Caenorhabditis elegans: one gene and its partners. The protein of the gene in region 1 interacts with the protein of each later gene in a pairwise test. Each region holds a gene or a part of one and is shown on either strand. Other genes may lie near its edges.

Region 1 (7,025 bases):
CCTTATGTTTTTTTTTTCAATTTATACTAAAGTTTCTGGTTTTCAACCGAAATATATCACTTTTGAATAATTTTCAACGACTTAGAGACCATTTTTTGTTTCAGGGTTCATCAATTATGTCGGAGCTACGTGTCATTTCTCTCGATGAGGTCTCAAAGCACAACTGGGAAGATGCTGATCAATCGTGTTGGATTGTCATCTCCGGAAAGGTAATTTTTTTTTCATTTTTTAAATTTAAATATCGAAATCATTCCTTACAGGTCTACGATGTGACAAAGTTCTTGAATGAGCATCCAGGAGGTGAAGAAGTCATCACTCAATTAGCCGGTAAAGATGCTACAGTTGGATTCCTCGATGTTGGGCACTCAAAAGATGCTATTGAAATGGCCAATGAATATCTCATTGGTCAATTGCCAGAATCAGACGTTCCAAAAGTCGAGACAGCGGCTGCGAAACCTTCGAAAAACGAAAAATCATCATCTCTCCTCAATGATTTCACCGAAATTATGACTTCACCAACATGGACCAACTTCCTGATTCCAACTACAATGGGACTTGTCATTTATGCCGTGTACAAGTGCATGTTCAATTAAATTACCTTAGCTCTTATCCTATTCTTTTGATCTTATGCGCCCACTTTCTTGAAATGCATCAAAGAACATTTGTTTCTATGGACTTTTATATATGTGATAAAGATTTGTTGTCAATATTTTCATATGTTACTGAAGGAAAAATGGGTGGAGCCTTGGAGATATCGATGTAACTTTAGTCGCAAGATTAGTCCTATTGAAACAATTAAAAAAAATATTCAGATCAAATGCTTCGTCAGATTCTTCGTCCAATTTTGAGTATGGATTTTACACAAAAAACAATTTTCTAATTTCTTGACGATTCAGATTCTTCCCGCCGATTCGCAGATATAAAACCAAAACAAAGTGCGAAGGAGAAGGTGATGGCTGAGAAGACACCGAAAGGAGCACTTGATAAAGCAGACGAACAACAATATGAAGATCCTCACCTCAAGAAACATCCGGGAGGTGTGAATAAGTCAACTGGAGAAGTTGGTGGACCAGCTGGACCAGAGCCAACTCGATATGGTGATTGGGAGAGGAAGGGAAGAGTTTCAGATTTTTGAAATGTTTTATTAATTGCTGTTAAAGTCAAGTCAGATCATCATTGTTTTGTAGTGCAAATAAATAAATGTTTTAAACATAGAGTGACATTAATCGTAATAGGGTACACAAATACGAAAATTTGACAAACGAAATTAGAAGAGATGAGAGAGATGAAACGATTATCGTACAGAATAGGGGTTTTGAGTATCATGATCATAAATTCACTGCGGAAAAAAATTAATATTCAACTGCATAGAGAGTTGCCTTCTTCTCCCCTGATCCAGTGACAATGAGTGAGTCGTCGAATGAGATGTCACATGAGAGAACGGAGCTGTTCTCTTTTAGTTGAAAGAGTGATGCTCCGTATGGAGTACGCCAGGCGTTGAGAGCATTGTCCTGAAAAATTGAGATTATGAGGTTTCAATTAGAAAAATTGAGCCAATTACCGTATTTCTTCTATTAATATGGCTGCAATACTATTTTTCGATGGTCTTCCCGCTTGCAAGACTAATAGGGAGTGCAAGAATATTAGGGAGTGCAATACTAATTTTCAGAATATTTTTCTGACTTTGAGCTTACTAGTTTTTTTCTGAAAAAGCTCGAATCTTATGTAAAAATACAAAAAATTTTGATTTTAATTGTAACCTATAAGTTCAAAAACTTCAATTTCGTATAAATTTTGTGAAAAATTGTTGCACAATAGGCAAAAAATATTGTTGAAATCCTGAAATTAGCGAGATGGGTTTGCAATAAAAAAAAAGTAAACGCAAGACTATTAGAGAGTGCAATAGGGAGTGCCATACTAATTTTTGGAAGGTCTCCGAGGGGCAATACTAATAGGGAGTGCAAGTCTAATAGGGAGGCCATACTAATAGAAGAAATACGGTAAATGACAAAGTATAATCAAAACATACCTTTCCAGTTGAAATGAAGAACTTTCCGGAATGCGCAAATTTGAGCGAAAGGACGCATGATTCGTGTTGTGTCAATTGATACTTTTCTTTTCCAGTTGTTGACAGAACCTCGACATAATTATTCTCCATACCAACAGCCACCCATTCATCATTTGGACAACATCCAAGAGAGAAAACTTGGCTCGCAAAATCATGCTTCGCAACTTCCTTTCGTTGTGCAAGATCCCAGCATCTAACAGAATTGTCAAGACCACCTGACCAGAGCTTTGTACCATCTTTTGAGAGATCGAGACATGATGCTCCATCTTGATGTCCAGGTAGGGTTCCAACTTTCACCTTATTATGGATATCATAAATGAGGATATTTCCATCAGCAAGACATGCGAACAATAATTTCTCATCTGGTGACATCGCCAACGCGTAGCATGCTTGTGAATCAGTTTCCAAGTCCAAAGTTTTTGTTTCAGTTGTAAGATCCCAAAGAGCAACAGTACTGGCTTCTCCTCCAATCAGAAGTGTATTTCCATCTTCAAAGAGTTTACAAGATCTAATATAGTTCTCTTTGAGACAATCCAAGGATGCAATTGGAGGCCGATTCACAACCGTTGCGCCAGAAATATCTGATTCTTTGACATCCCAGATCTTAACACATCCTTTTCCACCAGTATAAACACGACTGTTATCACGGGAAATTGTGGCCGCACAAACTACTTCTCCGTGATTTAATTCCATTTTCTTCTTGAGACCTCTGCAATTTTTTTTTTCAAATTTGAATCAAAGCCAATTATTATATTTTCTTACGTCGGAATTCCGGGACCTTTCTGTGCATCTGGAGGGAAGGATGTAGGTGTTGGAACTCCACCGTCCACAATTTTGAATGAATAGGCCGGTCTGCTACCGATTTGCCCGATGGCAGCTGCAAGACGGGCCTGTGCATGGGGATCATTCAAAAAGTTGAATCCTCCAGCAGCACTAGCTTGTCGGAGAAGATTTGGATCTGAAAATTGAAATATTTTGGCATTGCCTGAAGTTTTGGTATTTGCTCCCTCCACTTAGCACACTTCAAAAGATTGTAAACACGTACTGAATCCAGCTAAAAAGTTCATTTGCTCCAATCCTTGAAGCCCAGCGAGTGGCTGCTGTTGTTGTCTTGCTCTAGAATTTGATGCGATGCTCGGTGTAGATGCTCCCGATGAGGCAACACTATTTGTGCTATCTCTTCCATTTTTATTAGCTGCGCCTCCATTTGATGCAGTACTTGGATGATCATCATTTGTGACATCAATCTCAAGTTCTCCATCATCTGGATCTTCCAGCTTGGCCTTTTTCGCTTCACTTGCACCTCCAGAACTTCCACCGGCTCCATCTCCACCGTTGACATGTGGTGATGCGAATTGATTGAATAGTTGACTCATTGCAGGGCTCATTCCGAATGGCATATTTGGCATCATTCCAAGCATTCCAGCTGCACCGGGAGGAAAACCTGGTGGAAGTGCTGGTGCTCCATTTCCATTTTCACGTGGTGATGCGGTTTTGAAAGCTTCCAGTGCGGCGAGGCAGTTTGCTTGATTATCTTGAGATAGTTGAGGAGCCAACTGAAAAATATACATTTATAATATTACCTAAAATTGATTATTATGAATTAAAAATATTACATAATAATTTTTCTTCTATTTATAAATGAATATATGGAAAGAGGAGCATGTTTGAGTTGAACAAGGTACAATCCAATAGATATTATAACGTTTCCATAATATTTAGTTCAAATATTTCAACAAAAAAATTGTAATAGCTTTTTCTATATTTTTGTTCGATTTTTTAATAACATTATTGACGAGTTAATTTACCGATTGCATGATGAATTCCTGAAGGCGTTTGTTGATTTCTTCTGCTTTTCGAAGATCGCTACGAAGAGTATTTGATACTTCAGCGTACGTCATATACGATCTATTCATATTTTCTTTCTCTAACGCAACCTTTTCGATATCCGACTGCAAAATTGTTTTCAATATACTAAAATTTCTCTTACAAAATTAAGCTTACTCGTTGCTGGTTGACATGCTTCGACATTTCCGCATGCTCGTCTTTGATTCGATCGAGGGTTTCCAGATACGATGCCTTCATTTTTACTGAAAATTAAATACAATCAAGTGGATAGTGAATTATTAACATAAAAATTATGAGAGGAGTTTTAAAAATTCGATCAAAAAAATGCAAGGAAGAACAGACTAGTGATGGATTGGGAGAAGACAACAAAACTCAAGAAATAGCACGTGGTTTGAATAGACGTTGACAACGAGACGAAGAAACAAAGAAAGAGGACATGGGTTTCCAGTGGTGTAGACGGAGAGAATCATACATTAATTGCAAAACGACTGGTCATATAGCCCCACTAACGTTGAAGAATGAAGGAGGTATTGGTGTCGAGGAGGACGAACGCGCGGCGATGAATGCGACGCTGAATGGGTGACCGAATGGGGGGAGGAGTTGTCGATAGAGCACATTTGTTTTGAGCTCTTTTGAGCCCGAGTGTAGAAGATGAATGTATCCAATAAGTTTGATATTCAAGTAACACGAGGATCCGAGGATTTCTAACTAATATTTCGAATCAAACACGATGAAGCTGCAACTTACTATAGAGAGAAGCATTTATAAATATTTTACATGTACATAATCACAATTCCAGTATAAAAAACTCACAAAATTATCTAAAAAAACGGAAAAGGTTGAAATATTGAATAAAGAGACATAAACCTGTCTTGAAGAAAATATTTTTAAAAAATCATGTTTAACAAATAATAAGTTTATTGACATGGTATGTTCTTAAATAATTTGAGATTGAAAATCGGTAAGAAAATGAGATGAGAATCAAATGATAATAGTGAAAATTGAGATTCAAATGGAAAGAATAAAAACTCTTGAATGATTCTATTAGATTAAACAACAAGACGGTATACTGTAGCAGTCATGAAAATTTAAAAAAAAACCAAAACATGAATGAAGCTCCATTTTGTCATTTGTAACTAATTAGAAGCATTCCGGAGTGTTGAAGAATATATTACACATATAAAAACTCGAGAGTTTAAACTCATTAGGAAATCAAATATAATTGTCGTTTCATTGCTAACTGATCAGAAGACTGGACTCGTGCCTCTGGAGACACTTTCTTCTTCGTCATCAACCTCCTGCTTCACCTAAAAATACATTTTTAGATTAAGAGTGCAAGTCGTCTCGTGAAAAATATATTCTTGAACACGACACTTGATTTAAGGGCAGCGTAAATTTATATAAGGATTAAGGTAAATGAAGCTATCAACAACTAACAAGGTTATGCCCTTTGATCAATCATTTCATTTCAGTAATTGACACATTCATTTCCCACAATGTTAGATTTTATCGAAAAAGGAGGGATGTGATGGGTGGTTATAAACATTCAAAGATTCGAGAAGGCGATAATTGGTTGGATGTGTGTAACAGATGGTGGTGAGACGATGGTGTACACATTTGTTTGCACTTTATGTCATCATTATGACAACGAATACAATGAAAGTCAGATTTATGTTCCAGAAATAGAAAATTCCCATATAAGGGTCACCTTGGGTCAAATTGATGTCGGTTGATGGAAAAGGGATGTTTAATGGGTGAATGAGAATAATAAAATGTATGTGGTCGAGGCATTTGGAACTACATACATTTTATGTCTGGGATGCCGCTGTTTTAGATCATTTCACAAATTGAAATGAACATTTGACACAAATGTGGTCCTATTAATCAGCGCATTGAAACAGTTTCGCACCGAATATCCACAATTTATATTGAAAAATAATGATTTCTTTTTTATTCAAAACATCATAGGAATTGTTGAAACAGTAAACTATTTTTGGATTTTAACATTTGTAAGATTTTTGAAAGATATGGAGACTTACTTTAATTTTTTCGAAATTTTAATTGCCGAATTGTTTTTTGAAACTTTATTTTTTAGAGTTAAAGTTTTTGTCCAAATAAAATATTTTTCGGCCTTAGAATTAATCAGCTCAAGTAGTGGTTACACAACTCATAAAATCTCGTACACATACCACTCCAACAGTGTTCTCTTGATCTCTTGGCTCTTCGGGTTCTTCGGAGCTTCTTCTTGCAGATGTTGTACTCTCTTCAGTTTCTTCTATTTCTTCATCTTCCATACTTGGGTCCCTACGGCCTCGTTTGGTGGCTCTGAAAGCATCTCGTTACTTGAAAATTATTTAAAGAAACAAAAGAGGATTCAATAATAAACTGGAGAAACAATACTTTTTGAAATTTAAAACGTACGGTTCACAAACTTCTTCATTAGCTTGCCCGCTCAATTTGTTGCGAAGAACTTCCATATCGATTCGGAAGTCACGATATCCAATTGAATTGTTCTTTAAAAATATTTTTGAAAATGTCTAAAAAAAAGATTTTCAAATATATAATTTTGTAGCTTGAAGGTCACAGCCAAGGCTGCATTTTTCGCTTTATTCTGTGTTTCTGGCGAAAAATCTATTTTTTGTGCTTTTACCGGATAAAATTGATATAAAAAAACGAAAAAAAGCGACATTTTTAATTATCTTTTCACTACCCGAAAATGTATGCATTTTGAAATTTTACGCTTTTTGTCAAAAAACGACACTCGAAAATGTCTATAGGTTCAAAATTTTCGTGAAAACGCCTCAGACTAGTTTCGAAAGTAATAACTGTTGTTTTTGTCTTTTTTTTGGGTTTTGGCGAAATTTTATTCCGTTTATGTTTTAGAAAAAAAATCAATTTTTCGTCCACAGCCCTAATGACAGCTACAAAAGGAATAAATAAGTTTCTTACGAAATAAATTACAATTTAAACTCCCAATTGATATATCTACGTACCTTGATCTGAAGATCAAATCGATCATCTTTAATGAGCTTACAAAGAACAAGAATTCCATGTTGAACAGCTTCTCTTTCGTGTGAAAACTTTGAAAATAGTTTTTCGTCTCGTTTCG
Region 2 (9,317 bases), on another chromosome or scaffold:
TAAACAAATATATGATAATTTTAAAGTGGCGAGTCGCTACTCAGCTAATTTGGTAGATCACGCCGGGTCGCTGCTCAGTCAAAATTTAAGCGGCCATAGCCTTGTTAATTTGAACCGTAGAACTTTTGTGTAAGAGGCAAAGTTTGAGAATGTAGAATTTCGCATCGAATGGTGTGTTATACGATGTGATCCGGAGTCATTGAGTCGCTATTCAGCCAAAATTTCAAATTGCTATGAAACTAGGAAGCTTGTGCATTATAGAAAAGATTTTCAGAAACCAACTTCACTGATAGTTTTAAAGTTCTAAGCCAAGAACTTTTATTTTTCTCTCTCCATATAATTCAGCAACCCCCAATCAAAAAGACCATCCTCCGGGGGGTACTGTACCTGCCTGCCAGAATTCATTTGAAATCGACGTATCATCGTAAAACGAGAATACACGGGGCGGCATGCAAAAGAAAAGAGGGATTGTGGTAAAACAACACGGTTCGGTTAGTACTCTCATCTATTGTTATGATAATAAGGTTGTAACAGACCCCTCTTGGATGGACAGACCCTTTATGGTACATGGATAATGGGCAGTTTGCAGATAATTTCAAACATGGCACGAAAATTACTGGAACTTTTAAATAAATATTTTTACTTCTTCAGAAACCTCATTGGATATAGTTTTAAAAATTGAAAATGTAGCAAAATTAAAAAAAAAACCAAATTTCCTTGAAATTTTTACTTAGACTCACATTTTAGATGAGCTTTCAGGAATTTGGAGTATTAAAATACCGAAAATTTTCTTCAAATTTGCTAGTCAACAATGAAATTATCCATGGAACCCGAATTTTTGCATTTCAAGCATTAATGTTATTTTGTATTTTTGAATAAAATCTGAGTTTTCCAATTTTGCAAGACTATTGTATTACTTAAAGCGAAAATAATAGTGGGGATTTTGTAGAGAAAACAGAAAAAAATCCTAAAAATTAAAAAAAAAACATTTTTCTTGTATTTTTAAAATTTTTCTAAAAAATTTTCTTCAAATTTTTATGCATACATATACTCATTATATAATACTTTAAATGTGAAATTTGAAAAGCTCTTCGAAAAATTTTAACTTTAATTGAAAACTTTAGGATTTTGAATTTTCCTTGTAATTGGGGGGTTTTTTTTTGAAATTTAAATTTTTTTAATGAATTCATTGGTTTTTTTAAATGTCTAGAACTAACAAGCTATCTAAAAACAACAAATTGATTAAAAAATAAAACAATTCCAATAAAAAATTTGAAAAATTCAAAAAAAAAGTTTTGTTTAAAAATTTCAACTCCTTTTAACTTTGCTCAAAGTTACCCTATCTACTTAATTTTTTGTTAAATTTTTTCTCCAAAATGTCGAAAACCACAAATATTAGTAAAACTAATCAGAATCCTACAAGTAGGCCCAGATATCTCTCAGATCATAAACCATTATCTGTGAGAACCATAAAAGGAGCCATAAAATGCGTTGCGCGCAAGAGAGAGAAGAAGAATGTGTGATGATAATTAGTCAATCTGTTCAACGGAGGTGATTACGATTACTGTACTACCGTATCGACAACCCGCTGTTTTCCTTTTTTTTTCTACCTGATTTTACAGTTTTTAGGGGTTAACTGGGGCATGTGTAAATAGGTACAAAGTGGAGCGTATTGATTTTCGCTTGAATTTAGCGAGATTTTAACCTTAAGTTATTGATTTTGATTTTTTCATTGAGAAAATTTAATTTTTACATCACTCTTGGACCTAAAAATAATATTTTTTGAGAAAAAAGAAAAATTCGACTTTAGTTTTTTTCTTTCAAATGTATGTCTGATAAATAAATGTCCTAATATATTTTTAACAGTTTCAAAAAAAAAACAATCGAATTCGAAAGTTAGCTAAAATATTAATCTTCAGAAAAGTTAAGCATTTCTGAAATTTGACGAAATTTCTAAAAATTGAAAGAATTTTCAAAATTTCAAAATTGGTCATTATTTAATTTTTTAAAATTGAAACAATAAAATATTTTGTTCGAATTCTATTAATAGTCATTAATTTAATATATTTAATATACCACGTAACTTTTCGAAAAATTCAGGTCAAAATTTGACTGGAAATATAAATTTCCATCAAAATTACGAGGTTTTGAAATTTTTTCCAAACTTTAATTTTTTTTCGAAATTTTGGAATATTCGAAAAAACTAAGGTTTTCAATAATTTTTTATTTGTTAAAACTGTGTTTTAATTACATTTCATGTAAGTTTGAAATTAAAAAAAAATTTCAGCCTTGAAATTTCAATTGAAAAATCCAGAAAAATAGCCTCACAAAATTCAATAAATTTGGTGTAAAAACGTAAGTTTTGATGATTTTTATTTTGATTTTTTTGTAAAAAAACATAACATTGCTTTAAAGTCAAAAATAAACAGGAAATATTGATTTTCAGCAAAGTTTAAAAATTCTAGATTATTTTTAACAACTCCTAAAATTTTCAAAATTATAAATTCATTTATTTTTAAAACAATCTTAAATTTAAGAATCTAAAGTATTCAATTAAAATTATGGAACATCTGGACCCCAGTTTTCCCTTCAGAAGCTCCTCCCACCTCCCTTTCTGCAATTGGCCAGCTCCGCCCATTTACTGGCGGAGGGGTGCTTGTGAAATCGGAATTCACACTTATATATTCTCAAGCTATTCTCTAACGTATTCTTCTTTTAATTCGGGGAAAATATCTGAAAATTGTCAGAAAAATAACTGGAAATTTTTATAGTCCCGGAGCTTCTTATTCCATAAGATACTAAATTTTGAAAAAAAATGTCAAAAAGATGTGCAAGTGATAGAGATGATAAAGATTCGGAGCCCGTTAAGGTAAGCTTGGCTGAAAGTTTTTTAAAAGGATTTGTGGAGTTTTGAACTATTTGACTGAAATATTAAACAAGTGTTTTCTGGCAGAAAAGGTGTATTTTCAGCGTTAAAACTGCTAAAACCCGGTTTGAAGCTATCTAAAAAGACAAGAAAATCAATAATAAAGTTATCTGGAAAGATTTGTAATTTCTCGTATTTTAAGGGAATTTCTCTTACCATTTTTTGTAATAAAACACCTCAAAACTCCCAAAACGCCTCCAAAACCCAAATTTTCATTCCAGAAACCCCGTTTTTCGATTGCCAACATTCTTGATGAAGTAGAAGACGAGGAAGATGTGGAAGTTGATGTTGAAGACGTGGATGACGTGGATTTATCATCAATTCCATCGAAAAGTCCTGAAAGATCAAGGGGTCGGCCGAAGATTGGCTTGAAAATGAAGGTGGGCTACTCAGTTCATTTTTTATTTGTACTGAAATTAATAGAAAATATAAGTTTCGATAAATTTGCTTCTTGAACCAACTTTCTTGGATTCAAATGAACAAAGTTATATGAAACAACAGCGTGGCTTTAATATTGGCTGAGTAGCGGCTCAATGACTCCGTATCACACTAATTCATACACAAATCGACGCAAAATTTTAGGATCTCAAACTTAGTCTTTTTATCAAAACTCTAGCGTCAAAATGAGCACATATATGGCGATTTGAAATATTTGGCTGAGTAGCGACCTTTTTTTGCTGAAAAGCCCAAAATTTTCAATAAAATTTGGCAAGATTTGAGGAAACTCCGTATCACCTGGGTCGCTACTCAGCAAATTATCAAAATTGTTTTAGCTTTGTTCATTTTGGTCATAAAGAATTGAAACAAAATACATTGTGTAGCTCATAAAAATTTGCGTCGATTCGTGTTAAATTCGAATTTTATACGGAGTCCTTGAGTCGCTACTCAGCCAATATTGACAAAAAACGAGAGTTAGCCCACAATTTTCAAATTTTTTGTCTAAAAACTGTTTTTTCTTGGTTTATTAATATTTTATTATAATTTGTAACCTATATCATAAAAATAATTTTTGTTTTTAATAAAAATGAAAAAACATTTTTCAGGAAGGAAATCTACCAATCGAGTGCAAATTAGAGGGGTCCGAGCTATGGGCGAAATTCTTCGATTTGGGCACAGAGATGATTATCACAAAAAGTGGAAGGTAAGATTTATATTACAAAGTTAACGGGAAATTGCAAAAATCAAAAAAAAAAAAAAGAAATTTAAAATTTAGATAATTTTGAGATTTTGATAATGGAAAATTTTTTCTTAAAAAATACGATTTTTTTTTTTGAAAATTTGAAAATTTCTTTTTTTTGGAAAAAGAAACGGATAAACCCTTTTATCTAAATTACTTGTTTCTTTTTCTATTTTGTTACCCCATTTCGAGCTAATTTGTGAAAAAAGGAAGATCCTCTTTGACCCTCTTTATGGACCCCCATAAAGGAGGGGTGTATACTAGTTGTCACTTAGTTAAATGAGCTTTTTTCGCGAATTTTCGGAACATTGTAGGTGGGAAAACACAAAAAAATGGTTAGTTAAAAAAAAGGGAAATTAGGAAAAAACTTTTTTTTTGAAATTTACAAAACAATTTTTTGAGTCAAATTTTTTTCTGAAAATCTATAACAATTACTTTTTGAAGGCTTTTTTAAATGAATTATTAATTTTTTGTACTGTTTTTAAATATTTACTTTAAAGTTTATAAGCCAAATCGTTGAAAATTGTAAAAATTAATTTTTAAAAAGTTACTTTTTAATTTCATTAAAATATTTTGAGAGAATTTAAATTAAAAAAACAAATTTTTAAAATTTTGCATTTTTAGGAAATTCTAATTTTTTCACAAATTAAAAAAAACTGAATTTTACAAATAACGCAAATTTTTAAATTATCTAAATTCAGAGTATTATTTTTCAATAATGGTTTAAAAAATAGTATCCTATAAAAAACAATAACTATTCAATTCAAACACCTAACATACCCCAGGCACGGCCCAAAACCAAATTTTAAGCGAAGATCGTGGTAAAATTTTTTTGGACGATTTCCAAAATTATGGAAAAAATTTTTTGTAAAAATTTTTGAAAATTCGAATTTCAAAATATTTTCAACAAGTTGAAATCTCTACAATTCCACCAAATTTTTAAAAATATTACTACAACCACGTTTTCTCAAAAAAAATCAATAACCCGTCCCGATCCGAACACCTACAGTACCCCCTGTCAAAGGTACCCCGCCCAATCAATTTGTGTGGTTTGTAGGGAATATGGTTGTATTTGTAATTGGTTTCATCTTTTTGAATGTCTTTTTTTTCTTCGTCGTCTTCAACATTTCTCTGAATACCCATCAAATACCACATTCATCAATTCAGAAGATGTAGTAGTACGGAGGGCTGTGATTGAATTCTGTCTTTGATGGGTCACTTGGGAATTAGGATTACTGTAGAATAGATAATGATTTTGGTGATGGGAAATGTCAAGTAATATAGAAAAATAATTAGAGTACAAAATATTGAAAATATGATGAAAAAATGTCAATTTTGAAGAAAGTTATGATGGTTTAAAAAAATTTGAAAAAAAATTGGAAATTTTTCCAAAAAAAGTTTCACAAGAACTTTTGTGGAGCTTGAAATTTTTTGAAACTGTGTGTAATCTCTGATTATCAGTTTAGTCAATAAGTTGCTAGTTCACAAATTATAGAACTTACATTTTTGAGTATTCTGCCATTTGAAAATTGTCTGATAGATTCCTTTGTTTTTAAGATCCATGGGTTTCTAGTTTGTCTCAAAAAGTTTTAGTTTCCAATGCAAACCCCTAATTTTGGCAGTGGCAAGTGACATTCAGCTGAAAATTGTGGAAAATAACTAGAAAACATAATAAGTTTCAAAAAAATGCCTAAAGAAAATCTAATTCTTTTTACAAAATTGTTTTTTCCAAATTTTCCAAATTTTTCCAAAGTCCCTAATATATATGTTTCCAGGCGAATGTTCCCAACAGTTAAAGTTTCCTTCACAAATGTAATACTAGATGCTCTATATTATATCTTCCTAGATGTAGTCCCAGTGGACTCCAAAAGGTAACTTTTTCCCTTCAAAACTTTTTTTCTAGAAATTAAATCTTCATAATTCCAGATACCGTTACATCTACAACAAATCAGCTTGGCTCACAGCCGGTAAAGCGGAGCCTGTGCCAAAAAATCGATATTACCTTCACCCGGACTCCCCATTTACCGGTGATCAACTGCTGAAGCACGTGATTTCGTTTGAAAAGACTAAATTGACAAATAACGAGGTGGATAAGACGGGTCATGTGAGTATTTTCATTTGAATAAAAATTGTATGGAAAAATTAAAGTTATTTTCGATGTTGTTAGGAACATTTTGAGCATTTTTCAGGGCCCTAGCTACTTATCGCACAAATTGGCTGAGTAGCGACTCTGTCTCCGTATCACAATATATAGCATTTTACGCATAATTTCATGATCTCCAATTTTTTCTCTTGGACACAGATCCAGCAGTTCTCATTTTTCTACTTTTTGTTTATACTTTTTCACCAGCTCAGAAACTTAAAGATTAATCGGTCAAATTTTGAAAAAACTCCGTATCTTACGATTACCAAGTCGCTACTCAGCCAATTACCAAGATTGTCATAACTTTGTTCATTTTGGCCCTAGAGACTTGCTCCAAAATACAAATCAGAAGATTTTCAGACTAAAATATGAGTTTTCAGCTAATCCTAAACTCAATGCACAAATACCAGCCACGTATTCACATTGTCCAACGCCAGAAAGCCAACCCCTTGGACCCCAACAAAGTAGTGATGAGTGAAGAAAAACACTGCACCTACACATTTCCAGAAACACAATTTATGGCAGTGACGGCTTATCAAAATCAGTTGGTATGGCTACTAGGTTTTTCTGAAAAAAAGTTCTGAAATTCCAGATAACAAAGCTGAAAATCGAGAAAAACCCTTTTGCAAAGGGGTTTAGGGATCCTACAGGAAGGTCGCCGGATGAAATGTAGGTTTTTTTATAGATTTTGGGGAGTTGGCGGTTGTTACAAAAGATTGCAAATTTTTGAAAAATCGCAAAAAAGTTATATACTAAAAAATCTGAAATTTTCGAATTTCCTACTCAAAACCTCTCAATTTTTCAGGGAAAGGTCCCCAGGCGACATGATGCTCTCCAACTTCTACCACTCCTCTGCTCTGCAGCAGGCAATGTTTCAGCAGTGCCTGAGCAAGACTCTTCAGTTGAATCCATCAATTATGATGCTTTATCAGAATGTTTTTCCAACGGGGAATTCGTTGCCAGCAGCACCGACGGTACCCGGCAATCCTGCAGAAATTTCAATAAAGTAGGTTTTTGAAATTAAAAAAAGGAAAATTGAATCCGCGATACACCCGTAACGCAGAATACAATTCTTTCTCGAAAAGAGGAAATTCGGCTTTATTTTGTTGCTCGCTTCAATTTGACACCCATTTCGATATGATTTGCTCAATTTTAAAATTTTAGACAAAACCGCAACGCGACCGCGACGCAGCGGCGTCGCATAACTAAACAGCCTTTCCGTAAAAGTAATTAGCAAAATTAAAAAAAAATTTTCCTGACAACTTCAAGGTTCAATCGCCACATAAATTTTTTGTTAATTAATTTTTTGCGCAAAAACCGCGACGCGACCGCGCCGTGCGCCCAAAAGTTCGAAATTGTCAGAAATATGTAAATCAGCACGTGGTGTCAAAGTGTCTCATTTGAGTTTGATCTACAAAAAATGCGGGAGAAGAGACGCAGACTTTTCAACTAATTTCGCATGATTAAGAGCGTGTTGACGTCACGTTTTTATGGGGAAACATTCCCGCATTTTTTGTAGATCAAACCGAAATGAGACACTTTGACACTACGTGAATCAGCTTTTAAAAACTCAAACGTTTAACTTTTAAAAGAAATTAGAACATTTTTGAGTTTTAAGAAGCTTCATATCTGAAAATCTCTGAAACTTCTTTAACTTCAAAATGTTCAAAGTTCTCAATGATTTTGATAGTTTTGTTTCAAAGTATGTATTTCTTTTATTGAGAGTCCTCATTTGACACCCAATTCGACTGTGTTCCTCAAAATTTGAAAACTTTCACAAGAACCGCGACGCGACCGCTCCACATACTAAAACTGAAAAACTTCTAGCAAAATGTGTATATTTTTCAGATCAGAATAGCTCGCTGCAAATCGTCTTCCACGTGTAAATAACGCAATTGGCCATTTTTTGCAAAATCTTTAATTTTTTAGTGTAATTTTTCTGTAATTTTTTGTGGTGGTATTCATATGATATCCGGTTTTAAATTTGTGTGCATGCATGTGTCTGAATATTTGAATTTGAATAAAAAAATTGATGTAAAAAAATTAATTTCACTTTTATTCTTTTGGCTGAATATCTTGGATTATGGTGAAATCGGTTGTCGGATAATTTCAGAAGATTTTAGAATCTTTTTAAAGAACTCACTATAGTTTTTGAAGCGTTGGACAAAATGGTTTTGGAATTTTGATTCAAGAGAAAAATATGATACGAAGCCATAGTATTGGCTGAGCAGCGACTCACCAAAAAAGTTTTCACTGAAATTCAATAAATTCGCACCAAAAAATCGAGTGATTCCCCCCGGTCAAAGTGTTCTGTGTAATTAGAATTAGGCCAGGAAAAGTTTCCTGATAAGTATATATGTGCACATCGCAATTTGTCTTATCATTTCGCCTTCCTTATCACCTGCCCTTCATCAATAGCTCTTTTTGTTTGAAACAAAAAAAAGTTGCCATCTCGTTTTTCTTTACTTTTTGTTTTAATTAGGGAATTTCCAGTTTTAAGATTTAAAAATTGCAACAAATTTGACTTGAAATTTAATAGAAAACTTTTAAATTCGGGAAAAATTGTTGAAAATTGATACAATTTTGAACAATAAATTTGAAAATTAAAAAAAGGGTAGCTCAAAAACTGCAGTAACAAATTTCAAAATTTTGATTTTGATACAATTTTTCTTTTAAAAATTCATAAAAATCAATAATAATTATAAACTTCAACATTTTTTTTTCAAAAAAAGAAAATACGGTTTCAATTTTGTCTGAAAAATTAATTTTTTTAAATTTTTTTAAAAACTTTTCTAGACTTGTTTCTAAAACTGGCATTTTCGTGGAAAAATGTTTAAAACTATATGAAAAATCTTTTAAAATTGGAAAATACAACAAAAATTACTTTAAAGTTTTTCAGAACTATTCGAGTTTTTGGTATAATTCGAATAATTTTCAAAAAAACATATTTTTTCTTAATTTTTTTTCTTAATTTTTTTCAAATATTCCCATCATTCATTTTTTCTAGGTTTTCAGCCAATTCACAATGTCAGTATCTTCCTACGATACTGCTCGTGGCAATGAGCTTCTGC
Region 3 (6,057 bases), on another chromosome or scaffold:
ATTTCTATAGGCACGACTGACGACCGCTTTTTTCCCGGAAAACGCCCCACGTAAATTTGCACGCATACTTTTGGTTGGGAGCCAGTGGGGCGAGGATCCTCCCCTTCACGTAACACCTCAGTCTTCCGAGTAGGAACAAAATCGCAAAACTTTCGTGGTAAGACCACCGGCACCCCATAAACATTTATTAAGTAACACACACACAATTAATGCGTTCCTTCCCACTGCCAATCTTCTTATCAGAAAGATGAAATGACCGTCTCAACCGAGCCTGTGTGTCTATTTGTGTGTGGCCTTTGTAATAGTTACCACCTAGCTGATAACCGAGAAAGTTGGATTACCTCATGATTCCCTCATAAATTTGCCGACAGGTTCTTTAACGAAAACATATTTGTCTTTTGATTGTCTATTCTCTATTTACAAATTGATAATTGGGAGAATGCCACCCAGAATTAGTCGATTTAAAATTGAGTATGATCTACATAGATCTGAGTAGTGGTTGATCACAATGATATAATTATTATATATTAGTATCATTTTCTCTTTCTCTCTCTCTCTAAATTCACCCTGTCATCAGTGATGATTCTCAGTTTCGAGCGGCGGAGGGGCGAGCGTGTGGGCGGAGCCGCGTGTCCAATGAGCGTGGGGCGGGGCGGTCCAATTACCGGTGTTTTCTTTCGTTTATTCGCTTTTTGTGACTATGACACCAAAACGGAAGAATCAGTGGATCAGGCAAAAATATTATTATTAGAACTAATAGTTGGATTTAGGTTGGGTATCATTCTGTACCTATTTCACCTGATTTCTTGTGCTTCACTTGATCTTTGTCTTTATTATTATTGTTATTATTGTTGTTGTGCTCCTTGTTGTGCTCCTTATAAATCCCGTAAACTCTAAATCTAAATTGTTATCTAATACTTTTTATTGGTTACCAATAATATTACTTCTGCCAAAAGAGGCAAAACGCCGCGTTTCAAAAAATGAAAATTTTTATCTGTTGTTCATCACTGTCAAATTTATGATTATTAATATTTCTCACCATTCAAATTAAAACTTTTGCTTCAAAACTACATAAAACATTCAAAAACTTGAAACAAATTTTATTCGATTTTTGCAAGTTTTTTATTTAAAAAAAATTATACCGTATTTTCCCTAGCATTCATTTTGCTCATATCTCGGTTGTCCCAAGTTTTATCAAAAAAATTTTAACTGTCATAATGTAGAAAAATAATTTTTCCATAGTTTGTAAGTTGACAATTTTTTGATAGAACCAGAGAGAATCGAGATATAAGCTGTCAAAGAAGAGCAAGGTGCATGCAAGTCAAATAGGAAAATAGTGGGTTTTCCGGTTTACAAATTCGCATAGTTTTGAATTTTTTACAGAGTTTTCACCATTTTAGAGAATTGCTCACATTTTCTGAATTTTTTTTTCAAAAAATTAACTGGTACCTAAATTGAAATTTAAATATTTTGAGCAGAAGAGGTGAAACTCTTTTTTTAAATTTTTTAATTGCTTCTCATATTGATACTATTCTCTTTTTGTGCCAAAACTTCTAATCAATGCCCCGCTCCTTTCAAATCCTAAAGTTCCACTTAAAAACTGAAGAATCAAAAATCTTGAAACCTGTACTGTATGTACTCTTCCAAAAAACCACCTCCGTGCTTTTCATCATTTACAACTTGTCTCCCAGTCCTCGTCCGCAACTTGCTTTTGATATATTTTTTTCGACTTCTTCATTTCAACACATACCTACACACACAAAAAAAGTTTGCGCTAACACATGTCCGCCCGTCATAAATCTACAGTAATCTCGGAGCTTTCTTTCTCTCTCCTGATGCTCCCACACCACTCTGTCATTTTTCAATTGTTCTTCTCTTGGAAGCTCATCTCTCGTTTTCATTTGATCCTGCTAGAAGACACTTGATATGTTGTTTGTGTTAACTAAGATAACTGATATTGTTGAAAGTGATAGCTTTGCTTTGCTTTTCAACTTTTCGTGTTCCTCCTGCTCTTTTTTTTGACAGCTTACTAGTACCGAGTTCGGACCCCTGCATAGTACTACAAATATTATATTAATATGAGAATGATATACCCTTATTATCCCCCCACGTACTCTTGAGAATCATTAGTATGTTTCAATGTTTCGCCAACAATGGATTGGTATCATCTGCCCTTACCTACCGTACTCCCTCAAGTGCTCCCTCATCCATGATTACCGTACTCCCCTACTCTCCTCCCCCTTCTATCCGATTATAACATTTTTATTAATAATTATTATTGTCTGGTGTCTCGCGATGCCATCTCTATCTTACGATTTCGCTTTGAATTTTGATAACGCTATGAAAATATTAGCTTTTCTTATCTTTTTTATGTTTTACTTTTTTTCATAATTTTTTCATCAACTTACTTGCAGAAACTAACTAGGTAGACACCGGTAACAATGCTCTTTTCCATGGAATCAATTCTATCAAGTACCAAGCCAAAACTGGAGCCACCTCCGAAGCTAGAGCCGGAAGTGACAATCAATGAGCAAGTGGTTGATCTGCCGCGGAGCAACACACGGCTCTCCGAGCCATCAACTTCTGCGTCGGTTCTTGAACATGATTTGAAGTTTGGGGAGTCCCGAAAAAGAAGTCGGTCTCTTGGAGACGAGCCCACGGAAGATGAAGACGGCGTTCCAGTTCGGAAGGCAAACAAAAGAAATCATTCAACTTCAAGTGCTGCAGATAGCTCATCTGATGATGCGAAGGATGATGACGACGATGATGATTCTACATCGTAAGTTGGGAACTTGGGAAAAACTTAGGAATCTTAGAAGAAATTCGATTTTTCTCGACCTCGACCTTTTAGGTCCTTTTATACAAAAAGTTTGTATGCTCAATTTTTGTGAAACTTTGATCTCCGATATTTTTAAGTCTATTAGACATTGTTCAACTACCGTATTTTCCCTGTATGACTTGCATTCTCTTTACTCTAACTTGACGGTTTATATCTCGGTTGTCCTAAATCTTACCAAAAAAGTTTAACTGTAAAAATGTAGAGATATATTTACATGCATTTTGTCAGTTGACAATTTTTGATGAGACCAATAAAAACCTAGATATTGGCTGTCAAAGTAGAGAAATAGGTAGAGCAATATACCTATAATATGTACAGTGATATGTACAATAATATGTACTGTGTAAAACAACTGTAACTCTATAATTTTGCAGTCGAAAATCAATGTCTGGTCACCGAAAGAGCAGTCACGCAAAGCCACCGTACTCCTACATTGCACTCATCGCGATGTCAATTCTCAATTCACCGGAGAAGAAACTGACACTTTCGGAAATTTGCGAGTTCATAATCAATAAGTTCGAGTATTACAAGGAGAAGTTCCCCGCCTGGCAGAACTCGATTCGTCACAACCTAAGCCTCAACGACTGTTTTGTGAAGGTGGCTCGGGGGCCTGGGAATCCGGGAAAAGGAAACTATTGGGCGCTGGATCCGAACTGTGAGGATATGTTCGACAATGGATCGTTTCTGCGCAGAAGGAAGAGGTAAGGGGAGCACAGGAGAAAGTATTACAACCTGACGGGGAGTAGTAGCCGGCGGCGGGGTGAGCACACATACGAGATGTGAAGAGAGGGAAAAGACAGTTGTTTCGATAATTTGTCACCAATTTGTTGTCATTAATCGCACCCTCGAGGGTAGTGGAGAAGCCTGGGAAAAGAAAACTTTCGGGGTTAACAAGGGAATTAGTGAGATAAATTTTCAATTCAAACACTTAATAATTTCAGATACAAGAAAAACAGTGACACATATCACGAAATGATGTCCCATCATCCGATGCCATTCCCTCCATTCCTCCCGCAAGGAATGCCCTTTCCTCCAAGAATGATGCACCCGATGGCTAACATTCCCATGCTGGGACATCCAATGAATCCAAGAGCAGTTCCAAACATGCCAGCGTTCTTCATTCCACAAAATATTGATAGCCAGAAGCTCTTGTCAATGATGGCTTCGAGAATAATGCCAATGGATGCTCCAGTCAGCTCTGGCCAGAAGAGAACTTCATCGAGCTCCTCACCAAATGAGAATGGATCTTCGGCAGTTTCAGATAAACTGAGCGCTTAGAAGAACACTCAATTTCCTTGTTTAATTTTTAACAATTGTTTCCTATTTGCTTAACCTTTTCTAGTCTCTTGTTCCTTTTCCGTTCCCCTTCAATTCCTTTCAGCATTCTTCATTTCCCCTGATCTCAATCGTGCAATCAATAATCAATTTTTTGTTAATCCTCCTGCACGTGGTACCACAACTTCATTTCTTCAACTGATCTTCCCTTTTCTTTTTTTTCTTTGTTTCATTATCTGTGAAAGAGCTTATGTCGTAAATAATTCGAAAATATATATGTCCATCGTCAGCATTTTTGAAGTTAAAATCACATTAATCAATTGAGCAAACAGTAAGATGAAAGGAGACCGCAGAAGCTGCTGAGCCGATTAAAAGACTGAAATTGATAAGGGAGGGAAGTGACAAGACTGCTGCAGAGTTACTAGTCTGCAAAATGTCATGAATCCAACAAAAAATCAGGGTTCAGAAGACTAGGTTTTTAGTAGAAAACATACCGAATTTTTCAATTAGTCTTGCACCAAATTTGCTCTACTTTGGCAGCTCATATCTCGGTTGTCTTCAATTTTAACAAAACATTTTCAACTGTAAAATCATAGAAACATATATGAAAAATATTTCTACTGTTGAAATTTTCGTGATAAAACCAAAAGCAGCCGAGATAAGAGATCTGAAAGTAGAGCAGAAGGGGTGCAGTACTAATAGGAAAAGTACCGTAACTTACCTTTTCCTAACTTTTCTAAATTAGATGGATATATAACTGGACGCGAATATTAGCCACAGACAGAGTTCCTCAGCCTCCAAGAGTCCTCATTTTTCCATATAACCTGGCTCCTTTGGACTAGATAGAATTTCTAAAAAGACGACCTATGCCTACTTTTCTGTGAATAAAAACCATTAAAACCATAATTTAAATCAACATAAAGCTACTTGTTGTTTGGGCAAATAATGATACTAACAATTAAATGAACATTTTGAAAACTATGCTAAGATTATTCAAATGTTATCCTAATTACCAAAACCCTAGTTTAACTCGGTGACTTTTTGAACTCCCGCCAAACCATATAATTATCTCAAGCATGTCGTCTTCATTTCTATCCTAATTAGATACCCATACATAGTGTATATATGTATATTCAAACTATACAAAACGGATATTGCTTATCAAATTCATTCATCAGTTTGCCACGTCAAATCAAATTATCGAGAAGTGTGTGTGGGGGTGCAGTTTCACCTTATGCCACCTCATGTTTCGTTTGACGGCACATGGTGACAGGCCCGATGAGATTTTGAACCGTTTAATTGATACTAATCGGTATCTTAGGTTGTATTAATGTAATTACAAATACCGTATTTTTTAATGGTATGCACCTAACTAGTTAGAGTTATCAATTGTATTGGACCAACGAAAAAAGCCGATACAAGCTTTCAAAGTCAAACAATTGGGTGTAATGCTAATAGAAAAAATAAGATAGTTAGGAAAAAGGTGTTGCCAAAATATAGGAGCCTCTGCTACAGTAACCCGTGTTTAAAAGTGCCAATATCCTAATTATCTCATACAATGCAAAACTCTCCATCACCACCTGCAACTACTCCGCTCATATACAAAACAAGGATTATTTCAAGTAGGTTGAGCATAAAGATGTGAGTACGATAAGTACCGGACAATAGCCAGCCAAAAAAGGCTAACCGCCAAGAGTATTTCCATACAAAATGTGCGTCGGCTAATCCGCAAATTATAAGGTGCGACATACACAAGTCGTCGAGGTGGCGCAACTTAAAGATTCATCTGATACTGGGCAGTGAGAGAGCGTGTGAAGTGTTATAGACGCAGACGCCAAGGACATGGAGTAAGTGAGCAGATTGTTATGCAACCGAGCATTTGAATACCATCTTGTTAGGTAATGGACCCATCGAGACATATATACATACATAAACTTGTAACA
Region 4 (9,428 bases), on another chromosome or scaffold:
GAAAATGATAATATAGAGTTTGAAAACGCAGTCGATTGCGTCCATCAGGAACCTCAGGAACTAAAAATGGACCGAGAAACATTTTTTTCTCTGATCCTTCATCTGAACACTTACCCGAATATTTACCGCTCATCTTTCATTCGCAACTGATATGGAATTGAAATCCAAAATAAATTTCGATGGAGTTGTCAACGTGGAAATTTAATTTTAATCAGAGCAAGATATTTTGAAAAAAGGGGGAATGATTGTCACGTGTTTAAATAAAATTTCCATGTATTTTTTTTTCATCCGTAAAAATTATTAACTTATTTTTATAATTTTTAGGTTTTTTGATCTATAAATTAATGTTTGCATAGAACAATTGCCGCGCACCTCTGATTTGGTGGCATAAGTTTTGAGCAACCCACCCCTCCTAATAATACACAATTTCTCTGTGAATTTTCCCACCTTCCCGCTTCCGTTTCACCATCTGGTTCTTGTCTCGACACGCACAGGTCTGAAAAGACTGAAATCCTTCCAGACCTGCCGTCTTCCGGCTAATTACAACCAATGCCCACCACATGGCCTAAGATTACCTCGGCTCTTTTGTCGGGTGGGAGCAGGCAACAGTATATTTCCTAATCCGCAGCAATCTGCCACTTGTCGGAAGTGGTTGTACTCTCTCTTCCTTAAAGGTGTTCGATGTGACATGCGGGGATATTATCTTGTCACTTATAAAACACACTGCTAACCGTCTTCTTTTTGTCGACACTATCGAGTCTCAATTTCATTTTCCTTTGTCGATGATGTGTCAGTCGTTAATTTGCTAATTAAAGGGTGTTGATAAATTGAAGGCGTCCCTATCATTTTTCTAGTGATGGGATGCTAAAAAAAAATTGAATGTGGTGGGAAATATTGATGTTCTATTTCAATCTTTCTCTGCTGCCCAACCTATCATAGTCAATTAAGATTTTTTGCAGAACTTGAGAAGGAGACCGGTCGAAATCGAGCTGAAAGGTGTTTGGATTACTGTAGTCTTATGATGAAATACAAATAATAAGAATCCAGAACTTCGAACAATAAATGGAGACAGCTGTCAATAAGCTAAATTTTCAAGAATTTCATATTTTTAATTTGAAGTTAGTATATTTTCTAATGTTTCATTTCAAACAGTGTGTGCCTTTAAAGTGTTGTATCATCTATTTGAGAAATTACAATAATGACATAAGTATTGTAGAGTTTAATGAGACACTGTAACACGGTGGCTGGGACAAACTCTTTTCACATTTTGTCAACAAACTCCCGCACTCAGCCCATCAATTCTCCATAGATGATGCCCTTTTCAGATAGCGGAAAACCCCGCATCATCATCATCTCACACTTCTCCGGATAGATAGATAAAGATATATCCAAGTGTTACAAAGGTGTGAAGACCCCCAAAAGTTGACATCGGCGCGTGGCCCTTAATTATGACCGCATACCACTTCAAACGATACCGCCACCGTTTCTTCGTCCCCCTGATAACATGGTCCCAGATTATCAGGAAAATGGTGTAAGACAACCTTGCGCAATCCGGGAAGATGAAGAAGGAAATGATGATGTGACACGTGCCGAAAAAGAAATTGGGCCCTACTTGTTGATTGGGTAATGCACGTGTAGTTTTCAGGTGTTTTCGGTATTAAAAGGCTATTTGTATGGGGTAATAAAGGATTAATGACTAGGATTATTTCACATTATTTCACATATTTTCACGTTTTGTTTCTAACTGAAACTCACAAATAATTCTCCAATTGTGTAGTTTAGAATAGATTTATATCTTTAGACACCGTCGGTAAACAACTAAAAATACCATTATTCATCTCAATGACATAAACTTTCCCAACACGAGCCCTCCCAAACACCGACTCGCTAATTGCGAGCAATTTATTGATTGACAGTTCGCGGATGAACTTGTTTTGCACATTGTAGATCGAGATAAGACAAGTAGGTTCTTAAGTCGGGCCGACACAAAACAGATAGGTCTAAAAGAACGTCTGAAATTGAATAATCAGATAAGACAGAGTAAAGGGATACTGAAAAAAGAATAGTTATAGAAATACTTGAAAATCTGAATGAATAGAGGTGACAACTATTTTTCCAAACTTACAACTAACACTGGTCTCAAATTACAGATACATATATATGTTAGTTTTTTCAGATTTCAAATTAACCTACCCGTAGGCTGGTAGGCAAGAATGTAGTCGATCTTTGCAAAGTCATATCTTTAAATTTCTCATTGGAAATATTTGTACCGTATCCTCGAAGCACTTTTCCTCCTGACCTCTTTTGTTTGTAAAATATGTTTACACTTTTGAACACTGGAAATGAAAATGGGGAAATTGGTCATTGCCAACAAGTTACACTACTCTCGAAAGTTGTCTGTTTGTTCTATCTGTTCTTGTTTCCGTGAAATTGCAACTTTTGGAATATGTATGTTTTTGGTAATCAGAAAATTATTTTTGTGTTAGGTAAGTCCAACAAATCACATAATCGAAAAAGCAAACAAAGAAAGTAAACTTTGTCTGAAATCCATTAAGAAGCTGTTTTCAAATATTAGTAGCATGAATAATTCTAACGCTGTTTAAGCTTTTAATGGACATGAACGATTTTTAAAGTTTTGAAGTATTCGTTTCTGGTTCCAGTTTCATGTTAGAGTTACTTCTAGCTTCACCCAGAAGCACGGTGGACTGCTTAGATCTATGTAGCTATCTGCAAATATTTTGAATCTGCAAGATCCGCACGCTCCTAGATGTCCTTTTCTTCGAGACTATCCACAGGTGAATCACCATTTTGCAGGTGCTACTACCAAACATTGACCTTTCAAATCAAAACCATCGAGCACATAAATCTTCATCTCCAAAAATCCACCTCCTAGTCAGAATATCTCTGATAACAAACCCACATACCCCGCGCCAACATCTACTAGTACGTCCTTTGATGCTTACCGCCCGTGTCTTTCGCCCTTCTCTATGTCTCGCTGGTTTCGATTACCGTACTCGAGACTATGCATGCCTGTAACAGACCGCGCATGCGCATAGGTGGGCGGGATCGCCGTCCCGCCCATTCACAGTTCGACAAGGCGTGTCACCTCGAAACTACTCGCTCCTTAAGTTTTCACGCTATATACCTGATATTCACACATTCGGTATATTGGGGGCCAGCCATACGTGCTCCTGATATCCCATCCACTACTAACAAAATGACCACAGATTCTATCACATTTAATCACATTCTTGGGCAGGTAAGTCTATGGTTTCGATAAGTTGTTTTCTAGTTGTAGTGCATAAACTACTGCTCAGGTATTTTTTAATGTCTAGAAGTAGGAGATGTATCCCGGAAAAATTTGATTGAAGAAATTTTTGGAAATTCTAGATGGTTCTAGAATGTACGTTAATTTCGAATTATTTCTATACTGGCTCAGACGTTTTAAGGAGCTAAAATTAAGCTCTTGTTAATTATACAGTTTGAAGTTGTAGCCTATAGAAACTTTTGATTTATTGTTAATAGAGCTCATCAAGCATCACAAAAATTAGATAGTATCATTACTATAGTTAGCCTTAAGTTAGATTTTCATAGCATTTGAAAAGTTTTTGAAAATATGTTTTGAGTTTTCCAAGTCTCAATTTCTTCTCCTTTCTCACCGCCTCTATTGAAGCCCAAAATTAATTCAGGGTCGTGTTAACCAACTCGGTGGAGTTTTCATCAACGGTCGACCCCTTCCAATTCACGTTCGTCATGCTATCATTTCAATGGCCAAAAAGGGTATAAAGTAAGTAGTCCGAACTTCTAGAGAACACTAACAATAATCTTTTAGACCATGTCACATCAGTCGTCAACTCAAAGTATCTCATGGAGCTGTTTCGAAAATCTTGAATCGTTACGCCGAGACGGGCTCAATATCTCCGGGACAGGTCAGTGCATTTTCTGGATGATAAGATAATTTGCTAATTAGGTCATCAGGCAGGCGAATCATAACCATAAAATTTAATGTTTGCCTACACGTGCCGCGTGTCGTCGTCCTGATTCAAAAAAGTACCGTAATACTCAATTTTGGCGGGTCGCGCAGGTGCGACGCCCCGGGTGGCACTTTTCGGCATTTTTCAAAAAATGCGTCGGATGTCTGTGTTTCTGTTAAAGTAGTTGTTGTCTACTAGGTTTTTGGTTACCAAAAACATACGGTAATTACAATTCCAAAAAAAGTAAACTTTGAATTCTTGAAAATTCCATTTTGTTGGTTGCAAAACGGCAAAGAGTGTAGAACGGGGAGTGCAAATATACAAAACAATTTTTATTCATTTATAAACTTTAAAATCATCTCAAAAACAACCTGAAACTTTCCAAGAACTGATATCAAAACGTTTTCGGCAAATGACAACTTTGAAACAGTTTTTGAAATTTTTCTCGACTATTTCAATGCAAATAACTGATATTTTCAAACTGATCAAATATTTTTCTATCTATATTTCTACATTTAATTTAATAAAAAAAAGAGTTATAATCTGGGATTGGGCAGTTTTGTAGATTTGCCGAAAATATTCGTCATATTTCTTACATAAGCCTAGCGAAAGCAAATGCTTTTTAAACATAAATATCTATGAATTAATTTCAGATCGGTGGAAGTCCCCGCGCTCGACTTACAGTCCAAGCCGTCGAGAAAGAAATTCTGATCGCATGTGATGAGAATCCACAAATGAGCGCTGCAGAGCTCCGAGATTGGCTTATTCACAAAGACATTTGCACAAAAGGAAATGCTCCAACAGTACCTGCGATAAAAAGGCTTATTGGGAATAAAGGTATAATAATGATGAAAACTGTGAAGGCAAAAAAAAGGTAGAGGAATAGATGAAAAACAAACAGAAATTCGTTTCGTTTGATGAATGTTCCGCTTCTGATAGCTGTGGTTGTGTTTGTTTAACTGTTGACAACGATTTTTTTTGTTTCGAATACTTTCATGGAAACTTGCTTGGGCGTCATTTTTTGATGCGTGATTTTCCACAAAAATTCAACAAACCTCACAAGAAGAACTTCTAGACATATTCGATCAAATTATCACTTTCTATAACCTCATCAATCATTTCTTCACGCCAATCATATCATCTTTTTTGCTGCACTTTTTCATCATATCTTCCTTATCACTTTTTTTTGTTTTAATTTCCTTATCAATATTTATCTTCACACAAATCACCACATACTTTTTTGCAGGCGTCGGGGTTCCGAAGAAAATGGAACGAAAACGGCTGAGCTACAGTATCGACAGCATTCTGGGAATTTCAATTGGTAAGTGGTCTAATTGGAATAGTCTTGATTTCACACATTTATAATTTCGTTCCGTTTGTCTCATGTCCTCCAACACCTTTTTTGGGTGTCGGATTTCCTGTTCAATCAGGCAACATTCCGTTCTTTCAATTCAATTTTCTTCTGCCATATAGTAACACACAAACAGACGTAGCATGAAAGTTTTCATTCCTCCCAATATTCCCAAAGGGGCCAGAGGGCATACTGTATATTGGACTTCTTTGATATAATAACGGTCATTAACACTTTGATTAGTATCGCCTGTATGTCGCTGTGTATGTTAACGGTGTGATAAGACGATAAAGGCGAAGACGTTGAAGAAGTGGGGGCGGAAAGGACAAGAAGCGTCGGTGAAGAATGATGTGAATTAGACAAGGGGGCACGCGTCAGGGGTTGATTTTAATCAACAAGACCATCGTATTTGTTTGTGAGTTGCATGCTGTGCGCCGCCACGGAGATCTTCAGGGAGAGAACCATGACTGATTGAATTACGGGTTACGGTAGTGTACCGCATTTTGTTTCTCCTGATCTGCAACAAGCGTACCGGAATGTCCCGCGTGTCTTCAGGCCTACCTGTTAGCTTGCCTACTGCCTATTCGTCTACATCTTGGTGTGAAGTCTAGGGTCTGATGTTGCATTGTGAAGCCTATAGGTAGGTCGCCTTGATGTCCGGTAAGCAGGCACTTTTGATCCTAAAATCTTGTTTGATCTGTGCTCAGTTGTTAATCACATTCGGTAGGGTACGGTAGTTGTGCAAGAAAATCGTAATCTAAAGAAAGAGCATGTCAAATTCCAGGCATCATACGCCTACCTTGTAGGCACGCAGGCAGGCATTTTTATCATGTTCGGCACTCCAAACAGTTTCATTAAATCTTTGTCTGAAAATTCAAGTTTAACAACAGCTTTGAGACTGTTTATATAGAACGAATAAAAGTGAAATTTTTGGTTTTTAAAACTTCCAAAACTTTTAGCCTACTTTTTATAAGAAACTAGACAGCCACAAACTTATGTTTTTGCAAGTTACTTGAATTTCTAGGGGTCATGCCACTACCTCCTGCTGTTTCAACTTCTTGTCTTCCAAAACTTTCAACACTTCCCCTCTCTTCCTGTCCCGTTTTTTCCCGCTTCCTAACTTGTCGTCAATCTTGTCATTCCTTAAATTGTGAACCACCGCTCAACTTCGCACATTTTCGCATACACGTAGCAATTAAGATAGGGGGAGAAGATTTGCGCACTTGATAGGTGCCTATTCAAATAGGTAGGTAGGAGGAGGAGAAAACGATCCAATAAATTCCATATTTTCGCGGCCAATTGATCAGGATGGGCACACGAGTGACTGGCGCGAGAGAAGATTGGGATGCGCGAAAAAAAGCAAACACATGCATACGAACATAATACATATCCGCAATTTAACACATTAAAACTTTGACATTTGACATTTGACAATATGATTGTTAGGGATGTGGGTTACGGTATGTTGCGCAAGATCGTTAGTAGGTGTTGGTCAGCTTGCCTGGAAGGCAGGCAGGCATGACAGATCATTGTGAGCTTGTTTATTATCAAGTTTTTACCGAGTCCGAGTTACCCTCTCTCCACCACAAACCTTGAACCAAAGTTTGAACTCGGCGGTGCGGTAACGTGATTTTTCAGAAATTTCCCGAATTTGTCAGAATACTTCCATGATTTTCCACATGTCTATATTTCTATTACATTCATAAGTAACAAAAATTAATATTTTCCAAAAATAGGTAGCCGTTGAAAACACAACGCAACGACTGATATTTAGGTATCAGAGACTGGAGTGATAAAGTTCCAGGTGAAAAAAGAAATGGAAACAAAAGTTTCTTCTTCCTGGAATACGCTCAGAATACATTGCTCAATGGGAATATATTATAGCACTCCCCCGCGCCGTTCTTAATGAGCATTGGGAATTATAGAACGATATCGTTAAAAACTACAGTATGCTTAAGGGAGAATTCATTTTTGAAAATCTTACTCTACTCGGCAAGTAGCTAAAGTTTTCTGCAGACTATTACCAGAAAGAGGACTAAGTGCGGTAGAAATCTGCTTTGATTTGACAAGAACGGATGAAAAATATTAATGAGATAAAAGATCAAGTTGAGCATCCTTGAAATCGACATTCTTCAAATTAGAACATTGTATAGAAATAACCTTACCTTCCTTCCTTCCGTCACTATAAAATACTCCTGTGACAGAAACCGATTAGCGCACAGCTCATAAAACTTGGATGTGAGAAACGACGGTGATGATGGAGTGATCCGTCAAAAAATGGAACGATAAAAACAAATTAATAGGGTCCATTCCACCACATGATATCTCTTTCTCAAGTACACAAAGGTGTCAAGTCTATAAATTAGAAGAGACACCCCCCCTCCCCCACCCGCAATAGGGTCTCTCCCGATCTTTATCGATTATTTTTAGAGAAGTGTGTCTATGCGAGAGGCCTACGACATGACTGAGACCACCCACTGTGGCGCAACATTATATATAGTAATTGGGCGACTCGACTGGCAGGCCGTAGTCTTTCTCTGTTAGATACCTTACAATTGACTCATTGATTTCCGGATTTTGAGGGAAAATGCTTGATAGGCGGGGGTCTGATTTTGAATTTTTGAAATAGAACGTATGCGGAACTCAAATAATTTTCAGTCTCGAGGCAGGCGAGTCCGGAAGCCTTTCAGAAAGGCATTTCAGCATGCTCATTATTCATTAGAGCCTCCCTGGTATCAAATATATTCTAGTTGCAATAGTTACTTCAACTTTTGACGTCGCATGCTATTGAAAATGTTTGTTATTTTAATTACGCCTGGAACATTTGCCCTTTCGATTTTCAACGGATGAAAAAAATGGCAGATGAAAAATATTAGTTCCACATTTCGAAAGTCTGTATAGAGAGAGGATGTATAGAGTTTGTTAATGAAAATTCAAAAATGCATTCACGTACCCAAAAATGGTAGCTATGATAACCCCTTTCAAAAAAATAATTTTCAGACGAATGCAGCAAATCGTCATCGGATGACGAAGAGGGCTCTTCACCATCAAACGACGCATCGTCTCGTCGAAATCGTACATCATTCACTGCCGAGCAACTAGATGTTCTTGAAAATGCGTTCCGCGCAGACACTTACCCACATGCCAACGCCAGAGAGAGCATTTCCAAGGAGACAGGGCTCAGCGAAGAGAAAATTATGACGTGGTTTTCGAATCGGCGAGCAAGATGTCGGAAAAATATGCCAATGTATCAACAGTACAATGTTCAAGGTTTTGGATCATCTCCGCCGGTTAGTTAGAAATCGAAACTATATATTAGAAAACAAATTACTAAAACTTTGATTTTCAGTCCTACCCAACGCTGCTGCCTTCACCGATGATGTTCCTACCCTCCTACTCAACGAGTCCTCAATTGAATCCGTTATTCTTTCAACACATACTCCAATCAAGTCCCCCATCAAGTCAATCATCTCCGCCATCATCAAGCTAAACGCTTTGAACTTATTTCTGAACTTTCAAATAAAACCTGTGATATTTGAAAGTCGATCAGAAATTGATACACAAATTTAATTTGAAAGTCCAGAATTAATTTTAAAACATTACCTTAAGAATTCACCCATTCTTCCCAAAACTTATCTAAATCTCTTTGCCTTCCCTCTCATCAATTTGGTTTTAAATATTACGGTCATTGCACTAGTTCTTCGTGTTTTCTTCTTCTTCCCACTTGTATGAACTTGTCTGAAAATCTGTGAAAACCTTTTTCCCTATTCCAGATGACGCTATTGTTCTTGAGCATTTGTACAAGTTTTGTGTGCTCTCTCAAGCATTTGATTTCCATCATCTCATTCTCTCTCAAATTCCATATCTCATGAAGTAAAAAACACAAAAATAAATAAATATTCAGTTATTATTCCGGTCAACGATCACGAATGTTACAGAGATAACTAATAGACTTCAAATTTATTCAGAAGGCGGGGAAATTAAAGTCAATTTTTGATTTTATTACTAGAGATCACAAAATTTTAAAACCAGAGAAATATACTAAAGTTTTTGGGACTTTACGCTTGGCTTATGCGTGCGCTTTGAAATGTTATATGTAATTA

What was found.
Region 2: the proteins of unc-37 (region 1) and mab-9 interact in a two-hybrid assay, tested with the Caenorhabditis elegans proteins (2 studies listed by BioGRID).
Region 3: the proteins of unc-37 (region 1) and unc-130 interact in binary tests that used the Caenorhabditis elegans proteins (3 or more experiments, as listed by UniProt).
Region 4: the proteins of unc-37 (region 1) and pax-3 interact in binary tests that used the Caenorhabditis elegans proteins (3 or more experiments, as listed by UniProt).

What each region holds. Positions count from the first base shown.
Region 1 is NC_003279.8:6,741,172-6,748,196, forward strand, and holds unc-37 (Transcription factor unc-37), read right to left. Parts: upstream 4,159-7,025; 5' UTR 4,154-4,158; coding exon 4,073-4,153; intron 4,021-4,072; coding exon 3,877-4,020; intron 3,625-3,876; coding exon 3,114-3,624; intron 3,027-3,113; coding exon 2,831-3,026; intron 2,778-2,830; coding exon 2,030-2,777; intron 1,512-2,029; coding exon 1,353-1,511; 3' UTR 1,136-1,352; downstream 1-1,135. Other genes in the region: cytb-5.2 (Cytochrome b5 heme-binding domain-containing protein), read left to right, coding at 117-209, 261-593; W02D3.12 (Succinate dehydrogenase assembly factor 4, mitochondrial), read left to right, coding at 818-848, 897-1,135; fnci-1 (FANCI helical domain-containing protein), read right to left, coding at 5,161-5,223, 6,106-6,241, 6,338-6,429, 6,910-7,025. UniProt on the Caenorhabditis elegans protein: Transcriptional corepressor that functions with the neural specificity gene unc-4 to govern motor neuron identity. In concert with unc-4, represses the expression of VB-specific genes such as ceh-12, thereby preventing the adoption of VB motor neuron fate.
Region 2 is NC_003280.10:513,341-522,657, forward strand, and holds mab-9 (T-box protein 12), read left to right. Parts: upstream 1-2,683; 5' UTR 2,684-2,815; coding exon 2,816-2,869; intron 2,870-3,147; coding exon 3,148-3,306; intron 3,307-3,969; coding exon 3,970-4,067; intron 4,068-5,878; coding exon 5,879-5,974; intron 5,975-6,029; coding exon 6,030-6,207; intron 6,208-6,626; coding exon 6,627-6,794; intron 6,795-6,838; coding exon 6,839-6,915; intron 6,916-7,051; coding exon 7,052-7,252; intron 7,253-8,094; coding exon 8,095-8,104; 3' UTR 8,105-8,295; downstream 8,296-9,317. Other genes in the region: slc-36.2 (Amino acid transporter transmembrane domain-containing protein), read left to right, coding at 9,272-9,317. UniProt on the Caenorhabditis elegans protein: Transcription factor. Involved in cell fate determination; required to pattern the posterior hindgut.
Region 3 is NC_003280.10:11,279,554-11,285,610, forward strand, and holds unc-130 (Forkhead box protein unc-130), read left to right. Parts: upstream 1-2,412; 5' UTR 2,413-2,441; coding exon 2,442-2,779; intron 2,780-3,213; coding exon 3,214-3,540; intron 3,541-3,780; coding exon 3,781-4,117; 3' UTR 4,118-4,406; downstream 4,407-6,057. UniProt on the Caenorhabditis elegans protein: Probable transcription factor. Binds to DNA sequence motif 5'-CTGTTTCA-3'.
Region 4 is NC_003280.10:10,143,631-10,153,058, forward strand, and holds pax-3 (Paired box protein 3 homolog), read left to right. Parts: upstream 1-2,939; 5' UTR 2,940-3,217; coding exon 3,218-3,259; intron 3,260-3,689; coding exon 3,690-3,787; intron 3,788-3,832; coding exon 3,833-3,929; intron 3,930-4,627; coding exon 4,628-4,811; intron 4,812-5,220; coding exon 5,221-5,295; intron 5,296-8,325; coding exon 8,326-8,615; intron 8,616-8,674; coding exon 8,675-8,815; 3' UTR 8,816-9,235; downstream 9,236-9,428. Other genes in the region: F27E5.3 (uncharacterized protein), read right to left, coding at 448-562. UniProt on the Caenorhabditis elegans protein: Transcriptional activator. Regulates the lateral/ventral epidermal cell fate decision.